Styela clava: one gene and its partner. The main gene of each other region encodes a partner of the protein of the gene in region 2 in a complex. Links are inferred from orthologs where the notes say so. Each region holds a gene or a part of one and is shown on either strand. Other genes may lie near its edges.

The links.
Region 1: the proteins of metal transporter CNNM4-like (region 2) and protein tyrosine phosphatase type IVA 1-like are in contact, whole or in part, in a crystal structure (PDB 8CT8), measured with the Drosophila melanogaster proteins. The link is inferred for Styela clava from reciprocal best matches to the Drosophila melanogaster genes uex and PRL-1. Residues at the interface, in NP_001104390.2 of Drosophila melanogaster: Leu391, Val422, Thr423, Lys442, Cys445, Glu446, Gln449, Asn450, Pro451, Phe454, Phe456, Asp458, His480, Val482, Asn484, Gly488, Asp489, Pro490, Phe491, Tyr492; in NP_001260487.1 of Drosophila melanogaster: Asp32, Ile33, Thr34, Ile35, Asn36, His37, Asp77, Gly78, Cys109, Ala111, Leu113, Gly114, Arg115, Arg142, Arg143, Gly144, Ile146, Asn147, Gln150.

Annotation. Positions count from the first base shown.
Region 1 is NC_135258.1:8,232,175-8,243,381, reverse strand, and holds the start of protein tyrosine phosphatase type IVA 1-like, read left to right. Parts: upstream 1-6,924; 5' UTR 6,925-7,024; intron 7,025-7,489; 5' UTR 7,490-7,593; intron 7,594-7,982; 5' UTR 7,983-8,124; intron 8,125-9,367; exon of another isoform or gene 9,368-9,512; intron 9,513-9,888; 5' UTR 9,889-9,904; coding exon 9,905-10,009; intron 10,010-11,207. Other genes in the region: DEP domain-containing protein 7-like, read left to right, coding at 249-345, 877-1,019, 1,529-1,754, 2,000-2,197, 2,843-3,120. UniProt on the Drosophila melanogaster protein: Probable phosphatase. Inhibits growth possibly by negatively regulating Src64B-induced growth. Regulates central nervous system circuit formation and stabilization of synapse-dense terminal arbors.
Region 2 is NC_135258.1:13,545,514-13,556,305, forward strand, and holds the start of metal transporter CNNM4-like, read right to left. Parts: upstream 4,080-10,792; 5' UTR 4,021-4,079; coding exon 3,867-4,020; intron 3,382-3,866; coding exon 3,011-3,381; intron 1,165-3,010; coding exon 891-1,164; intron 1-890. UniProt on the Drosophila melanogaster protein: Probable metal transporter. Acts downstream of PRL-1 and protects the nervous system against olfactory carbon dioxide stimulation.

The sequences.
Region 1 (11,207 bases), about 5.3 Mb from region 2:
GATATTCTTGCGCTGAGAATACTAGTTTTGTTAATTATATTTGTGAATGTAGTTACACAAAGATTGAAAGTATTTGGGAGCTGTAGTTTGTCATATACGCTCTACTTTATTAAGAACTTATTCGAAATTAAAAAAAAATCTGTTGTTTAGATAAATCCCATTAGGTAGGTGTATTAGACCAATTCATAATGCATTCGTTGTTTATGTGAAGACTGATTTTAAACATCTTATTATCCTTATATTTCCAGCTTTATTTTGCGATTGCCAATCACTACAATGCATTAACCCGGCCATTAATTGATGAAAACTACAATGGGATTGCTCAAGCTATCATTTCATTACTTGGTATGATTATTATTTTTGTTTTGTATTTATGATTGGAGCATTATGTAGAAATAATTTGAACAAAACAATTACTTAAATTCGAAATCAACCTTCTCTAATGTAGTTGTGATATGCCTGCATGTATTTTCAGTAGTTCAGTTTTAGTCGCTGTGCAGCCATAAAAAAGTCTTGGGTTGTGACATTCTTGACTCCAAAATTTTGACCCTGGCTCGCGACTCGATTGTGAAGAATTTTGAATTAAAATCCAACTCCAAACTCTGAAAAAAAAAACGGATTCTGATTACAAAAACTCAGTTGTATGCCTCTATAAATTATCTGTTCAAAATTCTTAGTTAACTCGATTCTCTTTGAGTTTCTGTCAATTTTCATCATGAAAAGTCTGAAAATTTGACTGAGGGTGCAAAATTTTTACTGCTTTACTGCAACATTTTACTTTTCAGGAATTTCATCTCTTAATCTACAAGCATGTAATTCTATAATAATATAAGTATTTGTTTATTTAATTTTAAACTTTTATTGAATCATTTTCAGTGTCTCGACCTGTTGATAAAATCATGGAAGCAACACAATTGTTTGTCCATCTTCTGGCAGATGCAAGACTGACAGAATTGCGACATCTTTGTATGTTTTTACATGTTGTTTGTACACAGAACGAAGTCAGACTTGTACATAAGGTAATGTAGCTTCTATAACTCCAAATATATTCATAGATATTTATTATATTGCGAGGATCACAGTGTGAGGACCAATATGATTGGAATGCTGGTCCAAACAGTATATAGTAATAGTGTTTTACAGTACTGCATTAATTTTCACCGAGCATCTTGATACTGCAAAGAGCCATTGTTCTCTTTTTCAAGAATTGCTTGAAATACTCCACTCTGACTCTCGATTGACAAAAAATTTAGCTCTGACTCAAGACTGACAAAACGTTTGTCTGTGGCTCCTAACACTATGTCAACGAATTGATACTCTATTTCTATCTATGTTCTAGGAGAATAAGAAATTTCAATAGCAAAAGTTTCGGCATATGCAAGCTTTTATTTTTTGTTGAGAATGCTTGATCAGCTTTGATAGCAGCTGATTACTCTTCAGACAGTCTTGAATAGAAACTTACCAAACATGGAACTCCAATTAAAATGGTTATGGTTCCTCAGAAATTTAGTATTTCCTTTTATTTCAGGGTAACAACCAAGCACTTGTTATTGAAACATTCACTCCTGCAATATTACGAATGCCAAACAGTATTGCTTGTGAGAATGGAATCAATGGTTGTAAAGGTTTAGTTCGATTCATGGTTCAACACCATCTGAGAGTATTTATGCTTCCTGCATCTGTTGAAATGATTGTTCAAAGAAAAGTTGATCTGTTGGAACAAGGAGAGATTGAGAGTCCCTCACTTGTCACAGGTTGAGTTTTGATATTGATGTTAATAAAAAAATTAGATGCAATTATTCGTATTTTGCAAGACATGGCTTCCATAAATGCCAATATTTTTGCAAGTATAGTTTAAAAAATACCACTGTTTATTGGTTTTGTCAATTTTAAAGTTTGTATCCTTCGACTGAATTATAGCATCAAAAAGATGAATTTGGGATGAAAGATTCCAAAACATAAATAAAAGTTAAAAAAATTTTCTCATGTTATTGTTCAGATACAGCATATTGCACAATGATATCTGAATCAGAGTATCAAGAACAAAGAGTTACATACACTCACTCTCGAGTCAGAGAATTATACTCCACTATCCAATCCAGTACATCTATCGCTCCAAGGAAGAAAAAAGATTTGATAAAGAAACTTCAAAGACAACATCCTGATGTGTTTGGAGTCAATAATAACAATGACGCAGGTGACATATTGATTTAAATGAGATCAGACTTACGGATCGTATTGTTAAATTGTTGCTGTTATTATTCTTTTTCTTGTGGTTGATATGAAAAAATTGTTTTTCTCTCTAACTGCTGGACCGATTGCTCTGAAATTTTCAGTGGTAAAAGATTGTTGTTGTCGCTAGAAACAATTTCTGGGTTCTATGGAATTCGTTTTTCATTTTAAAGTTTTGTGTGATGACGTCATTAAAATTTGAAAAAATCCAGTTCCGCAATCGCATTTCGGCAATCTTGTGGTCAGCGAGGTTCAGAGTTTTTTCAAAAGGTTGCCTACTGTCTACCGGTACTGTAAAAGATTCGGTATTACTTGGTTTCGGCCTTCGTGTTCATACTGGAAATACACACTGTGAATGTAAAAATGAACACAAAAATGGCATTTTGAGGGTGAAGAGAGATGCGTTGAGGCCAATACTATCGAGATTGTGTATTGAAGAACTGATGCATGCTAAGTTATAGTTGTATTAAAATTTAAAAATGTAGTTTGGTATATTATATATTCAATACTTCTTCCAATCAGAAAGAAATTTAGAAAATGACATGATTTGTGATGTCATTTATAGTAAATTGTAGGTTTAAATTTTCAGTAATAAAATTAATTTTTTTAGATAAGATAGGCTCTCAGTCTACTAAAGAACCAGAGAGAAAACTAGGGCATCCTGCTCGTTCATTTTTAACTTTAACTCGAGGGAAGCAAGAAAGAGGATTGGGAACATCTGGATCTCACAGAGATTTATCAGCAAGTGGAACGTCTAAAAGTAGCACTAATGGTAATCAACTTAGGACATTGCCCATATCCACACGATCTATGAGATTTACAGCTCCGAATTCTGACCCCTTGACGCGGAAACGGAGAAACAGCACAAGAGCTGAGGTTTTTATCTGAATGTCTTTTTATGTCTATGTAGCTGAGTTTGTATGAAACGTAGGAAGGCTTTAGAGACAATATGTTTTGCAATATAGATATGGTGTTAAAAATATTCGCTGATGTCCAGAACTGAATAGTCTACACTTTGCTGAATACACATTCCGAAATAATATCATATTGAGACGAGTATATACTTGCATAAATCACCATAAATTTACAGCGACATAGTTGCCAAAAACATTGTTTCATTAGTTTTTCTAAGTCAAATAAGACGATTGTCAGGATGTCAATAGATCGAAATAAATGTATTTGCAAATTAGGTAACCTACATTATCCCTAAGGTTATCATTCCTTTTGTCGAATGCATTCAAATATTTGTTGCCTTCTGGACTTTCCTGATCTAGCTTATGCTGAAATATGCAGGAATGAGGACCTGCCCACGACAGTTGCCTATTGCATCATGACTAGCATTTGATATTTTTTATTCATATCTTCTATATTATATTACTGAATATGGATCTTGCCATTTTTCTATAATACTCTGTATACAATCTCTGTTCATTTTGTTGCTGAGAAATATTTCACCTTGTATCTATAAGATGTGCAAAAGATGTATTTTAGAATTCTAAATAATCCAGAAGAATAAGCCTAATTGCTGCTTTCTCTGTAGTTTTGTCATTTTTGCAGGGAAAACATTTTTTTCGTCAAATTTTATATAGGCGACTTATTTCTATTTAACTTGATCATACGACAGAAATCTGATGTAACATACTTTTCACATTTCGGGGTATCTACTTACAGCATAGATATCTTAAATGATGTTGTGTAAAACTGACAATTATGATGAAAGATTGGCTGCAACATTGTAATTATTATCAATGTTTCATGACTGAATCAATCATGTTTTCGATTTTGTTTTGCACATTGCAACACTATGTAACTAGCAATATTTATTATCATATTTTGCAGTCTTAGAATCATGATTACCATACCTCACATTTTGTCTTGCTAGATAAAATTTTCAACATTCCGATTAATATGAAGCTTTCAAAACAAATATGTTCATAAATCTGTGCCTCCAGTTTTTACTGATAATACGCGGCTTGAATGTAAGTATATGCTATTATTTTTATATGAATTACCGATTTCATGCTTATCATATAATATTTGGAAACTGATATATTGATTACCCTAGCGAACCTTCACTGCAGTGTTGGGAGCCGCAAACGGCGCTGAACAAGCGATGCAAAGACCGGAGTGCCACATGTGTTTGCTTTTTTTGCTCTTCTTGTTACTGTTGGTATATTTTGAGTACAAGTGCTCTACACACAGATTTTGATATGTAAGATATTTTTAAACTTTTTTTCAGCCTTGAATGATGACCAAATAATCAGTGCATTTGGTTCTTTTCCTTATCCTTTGTTTCTATTTATGGCTATCGTCACTAATATTTTAGTGTAGTCATTTAAAAATAGACCTAACACTTTTTCAGTTTGGTAAATTTTCAAAATGTTTTTTGTGTGAATAATTGTATTTACGTTATTTGTTACTGTTTGAAGTACTTTTTCATTTCCTAGAGTGAATTTCCTCGAAATAGATTTAGGTATATTGCCTGTGTAGAACATTGTGCTGTGTTTATTTCTTCTGATGAAATTGTTTTGCTTATTACAAAGTTTTCTTATGAAATATTATTGTCAAGCTGTAGTCTCAGCTTCTCATTGTGCTATGATGATGCCTATATTTATTCAGTTTCTGTATTTTGAAATAAAAATTTATTGTATGACTAGTTTTTTCTGTAGCTGCAGAAAGTTTCATCTGTTAGTAGTAAGAATAGTACTACACTAAAATCGACAGTAAACAAAATCATTTGCACAAAATAGTTGCCACAGATGAGTGGAGCCACAGAAAACTGAAGGTTTTCAAACTGTGACACCCTTATGTTGCCATCAAATATGCTACAAAAGTGTTATGACAGTTTTTTAGGCAGTTTGTTAAACAGAATCTGTATAAATAAGAGCATTCACTTTTAAGGATTTCATAATTGTTGTTCAATTTTGAAACTTGAATGGACAGAAAGTAATGACTTAATGTTCAATTGATGACTGAGTTTACCACAAACATTGATCCGTCCGTAAACGCACTCATGAACGCAAATTGAATTCATTTTTTATATGACCTAAATCTATCTATAGCCACTGAGGAGATGGATACATTACACTCACTAGGGAACAGGTTGAAGTAATTTTTTATTCTAGAAAAAGTACGTTGGAAACTCTTCACGCTCTATTTCCTATTTTGGGAGGGGATTGGGCATGGACATCGCGACAAAGCATTGGCGTGTACACTGTCGCCAAGTGTTTCCGATGAAATTTGAACAGAAGCAGGAATGTGGCCGTTTTTTTTCAGAACTTATTCTAAAAATTCAAACTAGCAGTCATGGCCTGATAATGTGTAACTTATAAATGAACGCCCTAGGGCCTAGGCAGTTATACACAATGAAATATAGGTGAGACATACCGAATATCTCCTTTCTTGATAGTTTCGGTGGCAACGCATTCGCGTTCAGTTGTGGTATGTAGGCGGTTTGCATTGTGGGCTCTGCCTTTGTCATTTTTTTTCGAAAAATAGACTAATAATAATGTACCAGAAATCATTAAGGGTATTTTATGAGTCTTTTATTTACCATAATAGTATTATGGTAGAAAAGGCAGCTTCTCCTGGGTAACAACGGTGTTCTTTCTTCGATATCTAGGTACGTATATGGTAAGCGATTGCGAATTACGCTGGACCGGTATCATCCGGTTACTGGCGGGAGTGTCGCAATAGTTTGCTTGTTTAGTCGGCGTGGATCATTTTTGTGCAATAGCTCTGAGGACCACCGTGGGTGATTTACCGAAACTTTTCTAGAAATATAAACCCTGGAATAAAAATTGTGTGTTTACGAAGGGAATTTTTCACCTTTTTCTTTGTTGAAACTCGAAAACAATCGTGACGAAGTTATGACGCTAACAGATGCTGATCTACTTATACTTTTATACGCTTGTGTCTGTATGTATTTCTGCGTACGGTACCGGTGCGGGTAGTGGCAGTTGCGCTATCCACCTATTGCAGTATTGTCTGATTGTTACGATGACCAGGGACAGGCCTTGAATTGAAAGACAAGGTAGTAGCTTGCGCGGGTTGATATTCTGATATTGCGTACCGGTAGTTATGCGAAGCTAGAACTGTAGAATGAGGCTCGTTTCACAGAAATACATTTTCAATTTAGAATAACGCCAATAGACTTCGGTATCAGATGTGTGCACTTGTATCCAACTTATTAAGCACCATCTGACTATAGTAACATACAAGTCGGAGAGTTGTGGGATCAATATGTAATGAAAACTAAATGCAAAAATGGTACGGTACCGTATATGTTCAGAGCATAGCAGAGGGCATGCCTCTTGCTCAGAATATTTGAAATATTGAAATAGGTACGGTACCAATTTAGCTAGTCTCTAAAGACAGGAAATAGTGATTTTAAATGTTCACTTTAAAAAGCTTTGAGTGCTGGAGTGGCAAAACTTTTGATTTAAAATGTACATGTAATAGTTTGAATCGATATCAAAGTTTCAAATTGAAGTTTGATATTTTTGAAATTGTTGAAAATTTGCTAATATCGAAATATACTCTATTGGCGAGAGATGAAATAAAGTTGGAACTAGTGCATAAAAATGACTTGGAATAATACACATGAAATTGTGTGCTAGAATTATACATGAAAACTTCCTGAGCTTTTTGACATGAGATCATAATTTCAATGAATATTCTTCATTACTTTTCAACCAGCCATATTAAAACCTGTAATTGATTGACTGTCAATGTTGTCTCTGGAATCATTTTCAGAAAGCCACTGTGCCCTTTGCCACGCACAACATACAAGGTAAAATGTTTTTGAATTGCAAAGTAATTGTGAATTGGAATTATCTTTACTTGTATATTGCTAAATTTATCTGGTAGCTGTATTTTAAATTCAATTTAATTAATATTTACCAATGTAAAAATTATGTTTAATATTAGTTTCCACTGTACTGGGTAGATGTATAATTAATCTCTATATCTCTTCAGTCTTAGTTTTTATCGTTAACAAGTGTAAAATTCAAATTTTTAGATACTTGATATAACTAGAGTTCCATCTCTGAATGAGTTTGGTATATTTTCAATCATATTTCCATTTTTACTTTGTCAAGTATATTCCCATTCAAATCTCTAAATGAGTAGCTGAAATTCAATTGGAGAACATTGTAATATAGATGCACATTCATTCAAATATATTTCGCAAATTATCACATTTTTTTGAGTTATGAGCAAGCTATGTCAAATCTGGTTTAATTTATTTATTATTCAGGTGAATCTACACAGTTTCTGGTATTTGGAAATACCAGAAATAATAACGGAAGAGATTGCTATCAGCAAAATTTAGAAACGAAAGATAATTCATTTTTTATTCAGGTAATTACCTTTACCACAATTTCCCACTTTTGTGTAATTTTCCCTAAAAAACCGGATGTTAGGAAATGATTATTTATCAAATCATCAGTTTCATGACATTATATTGGTTATTTTCAAACTGAACAAGCAATGGAGCAAATCTTTTTACAATGTTTTATTGTCACGCAGCACTTTATCAATTTACAAGGTTAAAGGCAAATGTAAATGCTTCTTGAAGTTTCGAAATATTCCGAACATAGTTTGTACTATCTTTGTCTGATAAAGTCTTGAAAGTTTCCTATTATTTTACTGACTCTTGACCTTGCTTTATTTATTTCACAATTCGATTTTTTTTTATATCTTTTCAAGTCTTCATAGGCATTGAAATGTCATGAATTCAATTCTTTTAGGTAATCGAATGGGGTGAAGTTTTTGTTTAAACGAAGTCATTGAGGGGTCATCACTGCGACGTTGAAGGCGACATACAACTACCTCGACTTCATTATTAAAACCCTAGTAGCCTCTGTCAACATTTGCCAAGAGTTTTTGAATGTAAGTTACGATACTTTTCAAGTTTGTATCTCATACATTGTGCTATAAAACTAGATTATAATTACAGTTGAATCAAAATTGTTAATGTCGTGAATGGAAGTGATTTTGCTTGAATAAAAATGAATATTATGATAGAAATATTAGTTGGGGTCAGATAAGACTAACTGCCTACACTGTATGCATATAATTCAAGTGATTCAGGAACCTTGCACACTAACACAAATCTCTTTGTTTAAAGTTTGTATTTCAAAATAAAGAATACAAAGCAGCAAAAAAAAAATATATATACATATATATGCTCATACATTGATGGATATGACAAACAAAATTAGAATATGTGAATTGTACAAATTGACCATAATTTGAGCCTCTTAAATTTGAAATTGTCCATAATTTTTATCAATCTTCTTGCTATTTATTATGGCAGTTATTGTTATTGATATATCTTCAACTCAAGAAAATATTGAAATTTCAAGATTCAGGTCTTTATATATGTCTCTGTTGACATCTGTATGACAGTGTTACCAATAACAAACATACAGTTTTACACCTCTCACTTCATTTGAAATGTGATGATAGTTGACACTCTTGTGCTAGGGTTATATTTTAGTTGCTTCATTTTATTAGTTGATGAGCAATAGTTAGATAACGTTCAGTCTTCCTTGTATATTAGAGGTATGGCCAAGAAAATGTATTTGGTAATTGCTTGAAAGTGTCTATGTTTGAATTGATTTTGGGATTAATAAGTCAGATCATAAGCTGGGCAATATACAGGGTGGTCACTAGAAAAGGAGAAAATTTGTCAAACAGCTTTTTATTTAAGCTTGCTATATTACTAAATATAAATGACACCTAACCACTATTAAGGAGGTTTAATTCCACGAATTTAAAAAAATATATATAACCTTATTAAATGGAATAAATTTGTTATAGTTAGGAAGACTGAATATTTTTAGAATATTCAGATTGATATTTTATTGGAGTAATATTATGAAATCATTATGCAACCCATTATTAAAACTCCACCATCATTTGTAATCATTGATTATCAGCATAATTTCATAACTACGGTACAATTTTCCATGCTCAAAAGCAAAATATGTTCAAAAGGTCTTAGATCCCTCTACCATTTGGCCAGGTTGTTTCCCACTGCATTGTGAGTTGTATCGAATCTACTGACAAGTAGGATTTTGATAATCAAACAAAAAATTTAGCATCGGAAGCAGACAGTGTGTAAAAATTTTACTGTTTCTTCTAATAGATTGTTTTAGAAAGCCTATAGGTTTTGTGTTAGTGCATGTGCTAATATTATATCATGTAGTAAAACCTATTTTAACTGTGTTGCTGTCAGCTCTCTGACTAACATTGAAGAGATTTATTGAACTCAGGTGATTTAATAATTTGGTTGTGACAGGAAATTGCCTCAAGGCTTTTTTGCAACTGTTCGAAATTGCCTTTGTATAAGAAACTATTTGAATATTCATAGAGCCATATTATCTCAATCTGGGAGAATTGAAATCGGATAATTTGTTAATCTAAATACAGTCTAAAAATAGTGTTTTAATGAGCAATATATATTTGAATCAAACTTGAACAAATATTTTACACATCATTATATATTCATAGAGATTGATTTTATAATTTTTGTAATTATAGTAAAAATAGCTTTGTATTATTGATTCATTATTCAATATCACCTACTTAAAGTAACCATATTTTTGGATTGATAATTTTTTAATAACTAAAAGGAACTGTTGTTTCTAGAAAGCTGTGACAAAGAATGGCAAGAATGAACAGACCAGCACCAGTAGAAGTTCAATACAAGAACATGAGGTTTCTGATCACTCACAACCCAACCAATGCCACCATGGAAAAATTTATCGAAGTAAATTCTATTTTCTATAATACGATTTTTCTAGGAAGATAATTCCCCCAAAATTGTTGTATATAGTTGCATGGCAGAAATGAACCCTATTTGATGACTTGATGTAACCAGGTTTTCAAGCTTTTTTTATGGCTTTATACGCCATAAATTACATGAAGCAAATAAAAGTTATTTTACCTAATTTAGTTTTACGGCTTTCCCTGAAGGCTGTTTGTTGTACATATACAATAATGGATCACTTTCAGGAACAATTCCTGAATTTGGGGCTCATTTCAAAGTATAAATTCACAAAGCCAGGAAGTGCGATTTTCAACCATGTTGCATCAGAATTTTGTAATGCTTAGCAGATTATTCACCATAAGTGACACTGAAGCAATAGTTTTCCTATTGTGTTTCTAATCTTTGTTCTTTGTAGCTATTTTTTTTCTTGTAGACTTTGATTTTCACAGACAACAAATAACATGATAAAATTCCTATATCAGCCTATTAAATTCGAGCTTTGGTTATTTAGAAAGAAGTTAATCATGTCTTGTATTGGTACTAAGCCTGATAAACCTTATTTTGGTTGTTATTTTTGTTTTCAAGCTTCTACTATGGGCTGTTTACTAACTAATTCAATTACTGCATGAATATTTATATCATGAAACCACCTTGTTATGGTAGCTTAGTAACCGGTCTCAACTAGCTTTTAACTATTTCTGTTTTTGAATGTTGTTTGAGTCATTGACGTGAGTGGATTTTAAGTGTTCCTGATACTGTTTGTTTTTCCACCTAGAATGAGGTTCATACTTAGGAAATGTGTGTTTGTGTTATACATTCCTTATTGCTACTACATGAACAATTCATATTCTTGAATCTCTTTTAAATAATATAATTTTATTATTGGAAATTACGGTAGTTCAATTTGGAGATAAATTAGATAATATATTTATTGACAGTCTTTCACAATTTCATAATATTTGTAGACTGCAGTATATCTATCTATGCAAAGCAAATATTTTTGTTCTATGTGACGGAACTTGAATACCATAAATAAGATGCTATAGGCTAGCATTTACTTCTACTAGCTATTTCAGAAGAACATCTTTATATACATTTTAAATATTAATAAGAAAGCGAGTATATATTTCCGATAAAGCAATCTGTTTCAAATTTATATCATGAATTGATATAACAATCATATTACTTTTAAAAAAGA
Region 2 (10,792 bases):
ATGTACATGAATTTGTAAATTCAATCTCTCTATCGCAACTTAACATAACAATAGTTTAAGTAAGAACAAATGTACATGTACAGGTTGAAAACACTAAAACTATTGGCAGGACAATACTAATAATATAAAATAATAATAAATTGTATCCATGGTACGAATTTGACACTGTATATCATTTTATGCAAAAGACTAAATTTTTTCTGGAAGTCCTCTTGGGGTCGCTTTTTTTTCCAATAAATTTCATTTTATTTATTCATTCCATTTTCTGGTAAATTTATTTTTCATTTGACATTAGTGTTGCTCAATTGTATATATGGGAAGCATTGCAGCGAAAAAAAAATAGGCAGAGGCCCGCCCATTTGCTTGAGTAACGCCACGCTACAAATTCAGTAACTCTCTGATGGCACACAAGCGCGACTTACGCACTCTGGTTAATTTCTGGTAAAGTGAATATTTAGTAAAAACGATTGTTTCATATTATTAATTTAATTTTGCAGCTACAAAAGAACTACAGTAAATGTTGTTTAGTATTTGAGCATGTCCTTGAATCAAAAGATTTTACAACAATTATTTTTTAAAATTTTAGATTTTTTAGAATTTTGACAAAAAGGTGTTGGGAACCACTGAGTTAGTGTATGACTGGTCAATTTGAAACATTCAAAATTGAAACTATTTTACGAGCAAAATTTCAAAATATCTAAGCTTTTGTATACTAATATCCCTACTTTCAACTGCAAAAACCTGGATTATTTATATATTAATTAAACATTCAAATATCACTTTGTATAATGTGACGATCTGGTAAATAGATATAAACCACAAAGGTCATTATTTCGAAATTTATGTGTCCCTAAACAAGCTTTTCAAGTTTAAAACAAACAAATACAAACCAATAGTTGATCCGATAACAGCCCATAATCCAGAAGTAATGTTTTCCAATAGAATAGTCATTGTGTTGTTCACCAGGACATTACCTAATAGCAAAGTGCAGAGTAAGTAATTTCCCTTTTTACGAATCGGATAAATTGCTTTGGAATATTTTTTCTCTGCAGTGCTTCCACAGTTTTGAACAATTTTCAACTCCATTGGATCGAGCGCCATAAGTCCAAGATTGAGACCAGAGAATATACCAGACATGAGTAGAAGGACTGCAATGAGCGATATCTGAATTTGAAAAATGTTACATTAACAACAAATACAGTAGTTTTTATTACGTAATGGCTACTATGTTGTGAAGATGAACCATACATATTTCTTCACATCTACTTATTAGAGCTCTATTCATTTTTGATTGGTAACTCAAAATCAAGTTTTAAGCAAAACTGTATATTAAATAAAAAACAAATGCAAATTTTACTATCACAGTAAAAAATTACATATTTGATAAATATAAAAATAAGCTAAATTTATAGAGAAAATTCAATTATGTCATAATTGTGACGAAGATATTAAAAATTTCATCACAATCACGAGGTTTATTGATTTGAGCAAAACGTTGAAATCGATAGTATTTATAAGTTTGCTTTGAGAAATAGATATTGAGTATTGTTTTCAATGTCATTACCCTTATTTACCTCTAAAAAATTATGATTTGTCCACAAACTCAATAGTACATACATTAATAAGTATTTAACTTGGTGAAGATTATTAGAAGGTGATAATGGAAGACATCCTATGACCTTACAATGATCTGAGATCTTACTAAGTAATGTGTGAATATGATGGATCAAAATGAAATTGAATTGAACTCAGGAAAATTAGAATATAAATCTGCAGAATGATATCATTTAAAACTATTTCTACATTTAACGGCAAAAATCATAACATAACTAATTTGCAACAGTGAGCGCTACTACTCAGTGGTAAAGTTTCATGACATCACAAAATCGTGTAAAATTTCTTGTAGATCAAAATGAAAATTTTTGTAATTTCCAATATTATTATTCGAAGAACGTAAATTGTGGAAGGCAGACGTGTGTCACTTCTCCATCTGCCCATGATTACTAATCATGACAAGGCAGGACTAATTTCACACCTAAATGTGTATGCGGAAATGTACACAACTTCAAAAAGTTGTTGTTTATCATTGGCGGTGTTCAAATAATTTCTCTTAAACGTGTGAAATATTAAAGAAATCTCTCTGAAGCTAAGATTTCTAGAACTTGAATTCTAAAATTTGAATCACTCATTCACAGTGTTTATTAAAAAGTTAACTAAATACAATTATATTGGGCATCTTTAGATGCTATTCTTTGAACAAAATAAGGAGTCATTAGTTGTTATACAAATTATAAAATATTATGCAGCTAGACAATTGCAATTTTCAGTCTAGTATTATGAATTTTTTATGTTCTACTGCAGACAGAACGGCTGACAGTGCACTTTGTCTAAATATCTTTTATAAATAGACTGTATGAAACCTCTAATAAATAAAATATATCACAGGTGACACTTCTAAAATTTCAAAGCAATAAATACTTACAACTACAATGCAATGACAATTAATTTGTTGTATTTTATACTTTGGATAATAGATTGCCAAAACTGAATTATTATACGAAATAGCCCACATCATGCTAAGCGCATTTTTGTGAATATTGAATATTGAGCTTATACATTACTACAATGGAATCCAATAGTCCATGACTTTTTCAGATATTTAAATTTTTTTTATTAAACTATTGCAATACAGAAATCTCGAACACAGTGGTGAAACATTTTCTTATATATATTTTATTCCTTTCAAAAAAATAAAAATAATTAACATTATACAACAGCAACATAACTAGAATTATTTTTTGAATTGAATATTCAAAAATATTCCTCTTTGAATAGGGCCTAAAACATATCACAAAGAGCATGCGATTACCTAACTCAATACCAACTAGATATGCCTTTACAGCCGCAAAGATAATTGTGAAAACTGCCTAATGATATTTAAGTTAACTAATGTAAAAAACTCTGCATATTATAAACTCTCCAAACTGCATATTATAAACAGGGAGTATACCTGAAGTGGTATAGGCATCAATGTGCCTTCACCATGCGTTTGAATCCTCACAGATATTTTGACATAATTTTTTGACCCTTGGTGCAAATAATGTGATGTGTTGTTATTTTTTACACAGAGAAAAAATAACTGTTGGTCATCTTCAACGGTATGTTTGAGAGTAACAACGACTTTTCCTATGGTTTGTGTAACATTGGTTGATTCAACTGGAAATGATGGTTGTTCCATATAATCATCACAAATTTCTCCATAGCTTAAAGCTTTTTTTACAAAAGTGATGCGGCTTAATTTTTGCAGATCAGTACCAAACATTACTAGAGTTGTCGGTTGCGGCATGTAGACAATGGGAACACCTTCACTGGTATAATTTCCTGAAAATGATATAACAGATTGACGAATAACGATAATGCAGTAGGATAAAAAATGCTTCTCATGCAAAATAAATATATTTTCGGGTGATGTAAAATGTGAGTTTATATAATGAAGTCATATAAAACATCGATAAGTTTGAATCTATTCGATGACTATCTGTCTCAGTTGTCTATTGTGTGACACATAGTGGTAATCAATTTTGATTAGAGAATCTACTCTCCAAGTTGTACACTAATTGGGAAAATTAATTATGGAAAAATGCAGTTGGTTGAGAATTTTATAGACCAATGTAAACCAAAACTAAACAGTAATTTCACTACCAACTCAATATGCATAAGAAATTACAGTCTAAGCAATAAAATATGAAATCATCATGAGAAACATATATTCAATGTAAAACAAATAGCTTCAACTCCATTTAAATTTAATACATATCTTTTGCAAAATTAATTAAATTAAACGGATGAAATATTATAAACTTTACCTGAATTTCCCGCCATAAGTCCAGTAACTTGTGAATTTGCTTCTGCGATGCATTGCGAAGGAAAAATAAATACAAATAGAAACAAAAGATGGTAGTATCCAATATGCTTATTCAAACCTAAATTATTGCAGTTCATAACATGATGTAACACCATTTCTATGACCAGATGACTGGTATCCGCTTTTTTTACCTGAAATTGAAGAATCAGTTGAGAATGTGCTTAGCAAACCATTATACTGTTATAGTCTAGGCCAGTGGTTCCCAAACTCTGGGTCACATTTTCTCCAATCAATGGTGGAATAAACCCTTAAATCAACAGTCCATTTTTCTCTTGCTTTTATTGGCAGAACAAAATGCTTGTCATTCAATCGAATTATTTTGTATAATATCACTAATAAATGGGGCCATGTTCACAACACAATGTAGGTACTTCTAGTTGGCGTAGCACAACCTATTTGGCATATGTTAGTCCTGACCCCCACCTAACTACGTCATTCAAAAATTACATCACTATGACATCACAGCAATGTAATAAGACCCCCCAAACTATACTAACTGTCATCAGGTCTCGTGTAGTTTTATACCTAACATACTTCTAGTGGGCGTAGCATAACAATTTTTTGACATGTTAATCCTAAACCCCACCTGACTACGCCATCCAAAAAGTACGTCACTATGACATCACAATCATGTCACGGAGCTTGCTAAATATATGTACAATCGCCCGAAATGGCATCATCGCCGACGATAAAGAACTGACTAATGTCAGCGATCTCTCTCATATTGGGATCGTTGATAAAACGAGGGAAATACCTGTTCGATTTCGGGTGCTTGTCTGCACGTCTTGGATGACAGTTCGTAAAGTTTGAAGGTAGGATAGGATTTACATATTTATCCCGGGGGAGAGGAAAGCCCGCAAGACTGCTTAATCATATGGCAAACCATGGCCGCTCGTCCAGTTACCTGTCCAGGTCGGGTATGGGATTAGATAGCCAGTTATTTGTTTTCGGAAGCATGGACTTGATGGTGGAGGAAGCCGTAACTGCCAGCGGTTACGTGAACCACCCAACGGCGGCTAGGAGTCCAGCAATCATCTCGCGCATGATCATCCTTGCATGAGATTCAAACCTATGATTCCACGAAGGGTAATCAGAGATGCGGTGGAAAGCGTATTCGGGTCTGGTACCGTAAAAGCGCCTAACTTCGGACAAAATTTTTGAACGGCCATATCTTGGCTAAAACGCGCCGTATATTGCTAATTTTAATTATTATAGGTTGCGCTGTTATATCTACATCTATTCTCATCTTTTTTAATGTTGCATAATTATTTTTTTGGTAAAAAAACGGAAATTTTGTCGAAAATTGACTGCCCGGCATTCAACGGCGCAGAGCGTCGCTCCTACTGAAGCTATCGTCGTCAAAATACCATCATTCGGTAGAGGGCGACAACAATGTATATAATATATTTGAGTGATCGCAAGATGTCGTACGAGATTTAAATAAAACCTAAAATTCTGAATTATAAATTCCGTAAGAATATTAAGATTTCACGCAGCGTCAAAAATTACGTCAACCTCACGTAGATTATTTTTCGCTCACTTCCCACACGACGTCACACTGCGTCGCGGAAATGAATTTTGACGCCAGACACAACGGAGCCAATATGACAATTTCCGTTAAGATAAAGACGGCGTTTCAATCTAATATTTTTGTATTTTGTTCGGTCATGTATGAATATATGCCAAAATTACATTAATGAAAATACATGTCACACTTAATCGATGACGTTAAAAATCGAATATATAATGAACTATGATAATTCCAACGTCCATATGGCACAGTGCACTGACTTAACCATTATTTTATGATTAGTAGTCGAAATGACAGTTATTGAATACGGCCTGGGTGAATTTTATTCACTCGAAATTAAAAATAAATTTAATCTCCAACAAATAAACGGGACCTACATGTTTACAAGATTAAGTTGAATTTTAAATTAAACTTTACAATCGGATTTACCGTGTGTTTGATATAAATTATCATTTATAAAGATAACCGCGCAGAATAAAAAAAGCTATCCGTCGAGAATATTAATACTTCAAAGACTTCGATAGAAGCCCGTTGAAATACTTCATTGTGGATTGAAACGGTTTGCATCAGATATATTTACGTATGCATTTCCTGATTAAAATGACTAACGTGTTATTATACTCATCTGAAGTATCGAAAATAACGAACGAAAGATGTAAACATAGGACGACGGAAGTTTCAAATAATGCATTTTCGTCGTGACGTCAATGTTACGTTACGACGACGATCGGGCGTCTTATCTTCACGCAACGACGTGATTACGTCATCCGCATCGGGAGCCTCTTTCTCTCTGTGCGTCGCGGTTACGCAGTGAAGAAAATGACTGTCCGAAGTTAGGGCAGTGAAGGATAACGGTCAGATGGCAAGAAATATCGATTATTTCAATAGTAAAAATAGTCCAATTGAATCGAAATTTGCAGGGAATGTAAATTACCGCACGAATGTTTTACCGAGCAATTTTGGCACCGTTTGGACAATAAATGGCCGAGTTATTGACGAAAATATAGTAATTTTGTCCGAAGTTAGGCGCTTTTACGGTATAGTTTAGTACCACATGCACTTCTAGTTGGCCTGGCTCAACAATTTTTGCATATGTCAATCCTAACCCCCACCTGACTACGTCACCGAAAAATTTCCTCATTTCGGCATCACAGTAGCGTAATATGGCCCATCAAAGTATGTGGATGGTTGTCCAAAACGCGCAGACGATCACCCGAAATCGAGCAAGCGAATTCTCTCGTTTTCTCGTCATAACGATCCCGATATGAGAAAGATCACTGACGTTAGTGCAAGCTCTTTGATGTGATTGCAGGATTGTGAGGTTGTTGTGAGTTGTGACATACCGTCATCTTTGGATGACGGAGCCAGGTGGGGGTTAAGAAAAACATATGTAAAAATGGTTGTGCCACACTAAATAGAAGAACGGCGTCTAGTGAATATGTTGCAATAAATGGATTTATATCCTGTATGTATATCTATATTACTGTATTATGAAAAGTGACATTACTATTACGGTACCGGTGGCGGTACTAAGGCTATCCGCTTATTCATCAGGGATACAACCAATGATGAATGAGTTTATGATATTCTGTACCGGTTATACTCTGACGCATTATTTGATATTCAATCCAATATTATTGACATAAATTAAAATATGCGCGGTACCGTACCGGTACTGGTAAATAGATTGTTACCGTACTATTTACTGTAACGTACCGGTAGCGGTACCGGTACTAAATGGTTAAATTGTTCAACTCATTTCTGCCTTTAGAATACCAAGATTAAATGAACCCACTAACGCCAGTCGTCAGCGATCTCTCTCACATCCGGATCGTTTCACAGAAATTAACCCTACATGCAGACATGTGTGCAACCTACTGCGCTGTACTAAAGGACTATCCAGCTACTACGGTATTACACCACATGCTGCACTGAATGACTAACAGTAACGAAGTCATAGGCAGGCGGTAATGATAGAATAGATTATGAACTCGCTCAATATTTATATCGGATCATACGCATTGCATCGGATAGGTGTCGCTCGGGATATTTCCCATGGCATTGATTTCCTTATTTATATCCGTCACAGTGCTCAATTAGCTAAGAGTCAACGATGACCTGATGACGTAACAATCGTGATTTTCTAGACGCTGAGGCATTTCGTTTGCTCAGGAATTTATGCATGGTTCAATCAATCAATCAATTTTATTTCGCTCACACTGAAAGAAACAAAACGAACAACAAACAAAATGTAGAGAACCTGGAGAACGGGCATAACTTAATAAAAAAGTTACAAACGTACAAGTACGTGCCCGTCCACCAAAAACAGTCAAAAAAAACACAATAAAACAAAAGTACGATGTAAAATATGGCAATACCTTTTGCATCAATTTTAGAATGTGAGACGTGTATCTGTATAACAACAGTGCTTTTCCTACCAAAATATGGAATAAAAAAACACTCGTTGAGGTAAAATGGTGATGCTGTAGTTCAATTTCATTGAAAAAATAACACAGTGACAAAAAATTGTTACTGAAAAACAAGCTCGTTAAATAGATTGAATGTTCCATAACAGTCCACGCACAAATCATGGACTGAGGTATCGGGCTCCCTTGTCGTTTTCGATTAGTTCAATTTAAAATCATTGTATCCGTTCCAATGCTTCCAGCATTAATATTGAATTTCCACGAACGACCACCATTCCAACAGTTGCAGTGGTCCAAGTCAACCAACGACTAACGGGACCAACAGTAAATACCGAAACACACAGCGGTAGCATTCTCTAAGACTTTTCAAGTAACCACGTCCGCACCCGACGATGCTCGGAACCATTAAAAAAATATTTTTCAACTTTTATTCAATTTTGTAGAATATTTGCGTCATTTATTAAAAATCAGGTAATGGGTCTTGTATCTTGCATTCGCCATGACAAGTATTGAAAGCATTATATTGAAATATATGCTGGAATTCGAATGCGCCAGAGAGAAAAACTTGCGTTACATGCATGGAGGTGTCAAATTTTTTGCTAACCGGGCCGAGTTTCTCATAATATTGCCCCTCATGCCTAACTTTAAAAATAATAAGAGAGATAAACAAATTATAGTTTTTGTTATACACGAATATGAACCAATCAATGATCAAGTGAGAGTGGAATATTTGTATTATTATTATTTCGATCATCTAACTAAGCAACAAACTCACCCCTAAATCGTGCTTCCCGGGGCGGCTGCCTCTATGTCCCTTACCTAGACACTCCCCTGGTTATATGTCACAGGCAACTTTAGAAATGATCCTTCCCCAATCCGCTATTTTAAAGCTGTTTTTGATGATAATTTAATCTCATCTTGCAGAACACTCCAAGTTGTATTCAGAACGGAAAGTTGGACTTCTGGTTTAGTTTGAATGAAAAAATGTGGAGTGGGTGGAATTGCATAAAACAGTTGAAGTTTATGCTTGAAAGCAAAGTATAAGTTGGAAAAGTAATGCAATTGATTTAGGCTATGCACTTGATTTTTAACATTGTGAAATGCGAATGGGGTTGGGCATTTCAGAATCGAATAGTAAATTTTTGGAATCGTCCGGACGAAAATTTCGAATCGCCGCCATCTTTTTTCTTGTTCACTGAAGAGCTAGGTTGCGGGATTTTTTTGTTGAGACATATTTCTTACAATACAAACTGACATGCGAGTGATTTATTGATGAAACAGGTTTCTTATTCTGTGTGAACACAAAACCAACTGTCTGAGTGATGGAGTGTATGTTTTCAGTAGTTCAATAAAAAAGTGGCATTCAGATACCAAACTTTCAAGTATTCGAGATTTGATTCGGAAAATATTCGATTTAATTGTAAAACCACTAGGTATTTGAAAATGCCCAGCCCTAATTGCGAACAAATGTTTATTGAATTATGATAAATCAGCGGGTACTCCTAAAGTATGCGCACAAGGGTTTTTATTCTGCGGGAAATGGAGCCCCATTCGGGTTTAATTCCCCTGCCAAGACCCCATTCGGGTTTAATCCTCCCTGTACATATTTCTGAAGCGCCAATCTGCGAGGCAACTAAGCAGAGGATTCGTATAGTGACGCGTATGTCCAATAGTTTCACATGAGCCTAGTTTAACATTATATATGGGCCACAGTAAAGATCAGTAGCCTATCTGAAAATAATTTCATGGACGAGGCTACGATGCAAACATCGAAGGTGCATATTTTCATAATATGCTGTCGTCCATGCATCGCGATTTTGAACTGCGTGCTAGTACGGGTAATCACTAGAAGAATCAATCGAATCTGTGCACATTTGAGTCTCCTATTGTAGAATTGTAAAAAAGAACTAGTACGACAATCGTTATCAATGTCTCCGTCTTATCAGGACTATCCAATAGACCTCAATCTAGCGATAAAAATATCTTTGGACATTTTCTATAAATAAAAGAAAACTGTAGAAGCGGATTTTGCTCGTTGTATGGACATAGCAAACATTTATAATTGGAAAATGGAAAAAATTGGTTTGAAATGTATTTACAAAACTGGAAAAAGGAGCTTTTTTCGGAACTCGTAGTCCATTTCGTTGTAAAGTTGATTAATGTTAGTGTTCAATATTAGTAGTTTTTTTTATTTGCAGTAATCGGGGTTTCAAGAAATTGACTCATTACCCTTATTTCATGATGTTGTTCCCGAACAACGTCACAAAACTTGATGATGACATTGTAAATACTTCATTTCAATCCAAAAATAATTTTTTTTGTTGTAAGTGAAAAAGTCATGAATGAAATGGTTAAGTGTCAACTCTCCAAAACACTAGTGAAACAGGCATCTAAAATTTTGCAATAGTAAAGTATAGAAAGAATTTTTTTGGGGTCAAAGGTCGGGGAAACATCTATTAGGTTCGGGGCCCTGGAAAATCCTGATCCCGGAATTAATTTTGATAATATTCTAAAATTTCAAGAAATTAACTTACAAAATTCGTCTTTATTTGTATATATATGCTCCATTTTAGAACACACATAGCCTACTACAAATCTGAAAATTTTGCTTCAAATTATAGTGGGAAAAGTCAAATGTGTTTATATTCTCATTAAAATAGCGAATTACTTTGTTTTGCTCATCCTCTTATCCATTTAAATGAAATTGTCTAATGTATTTTATTTACATTTTTTATGCATCTTACACACGTAGTATATGTAGCCTACACGCAGTTTTTTGGAATATAAATACCTAATGCCTCATGATGGAATTGTTCCCTTCGCGCTTAATCATCATACCTTCTGAAAACTAGATGTTTAATTATGTCATTCTCAGAATAGTTCAACCAATACAACTGTATTAGTGTAAAA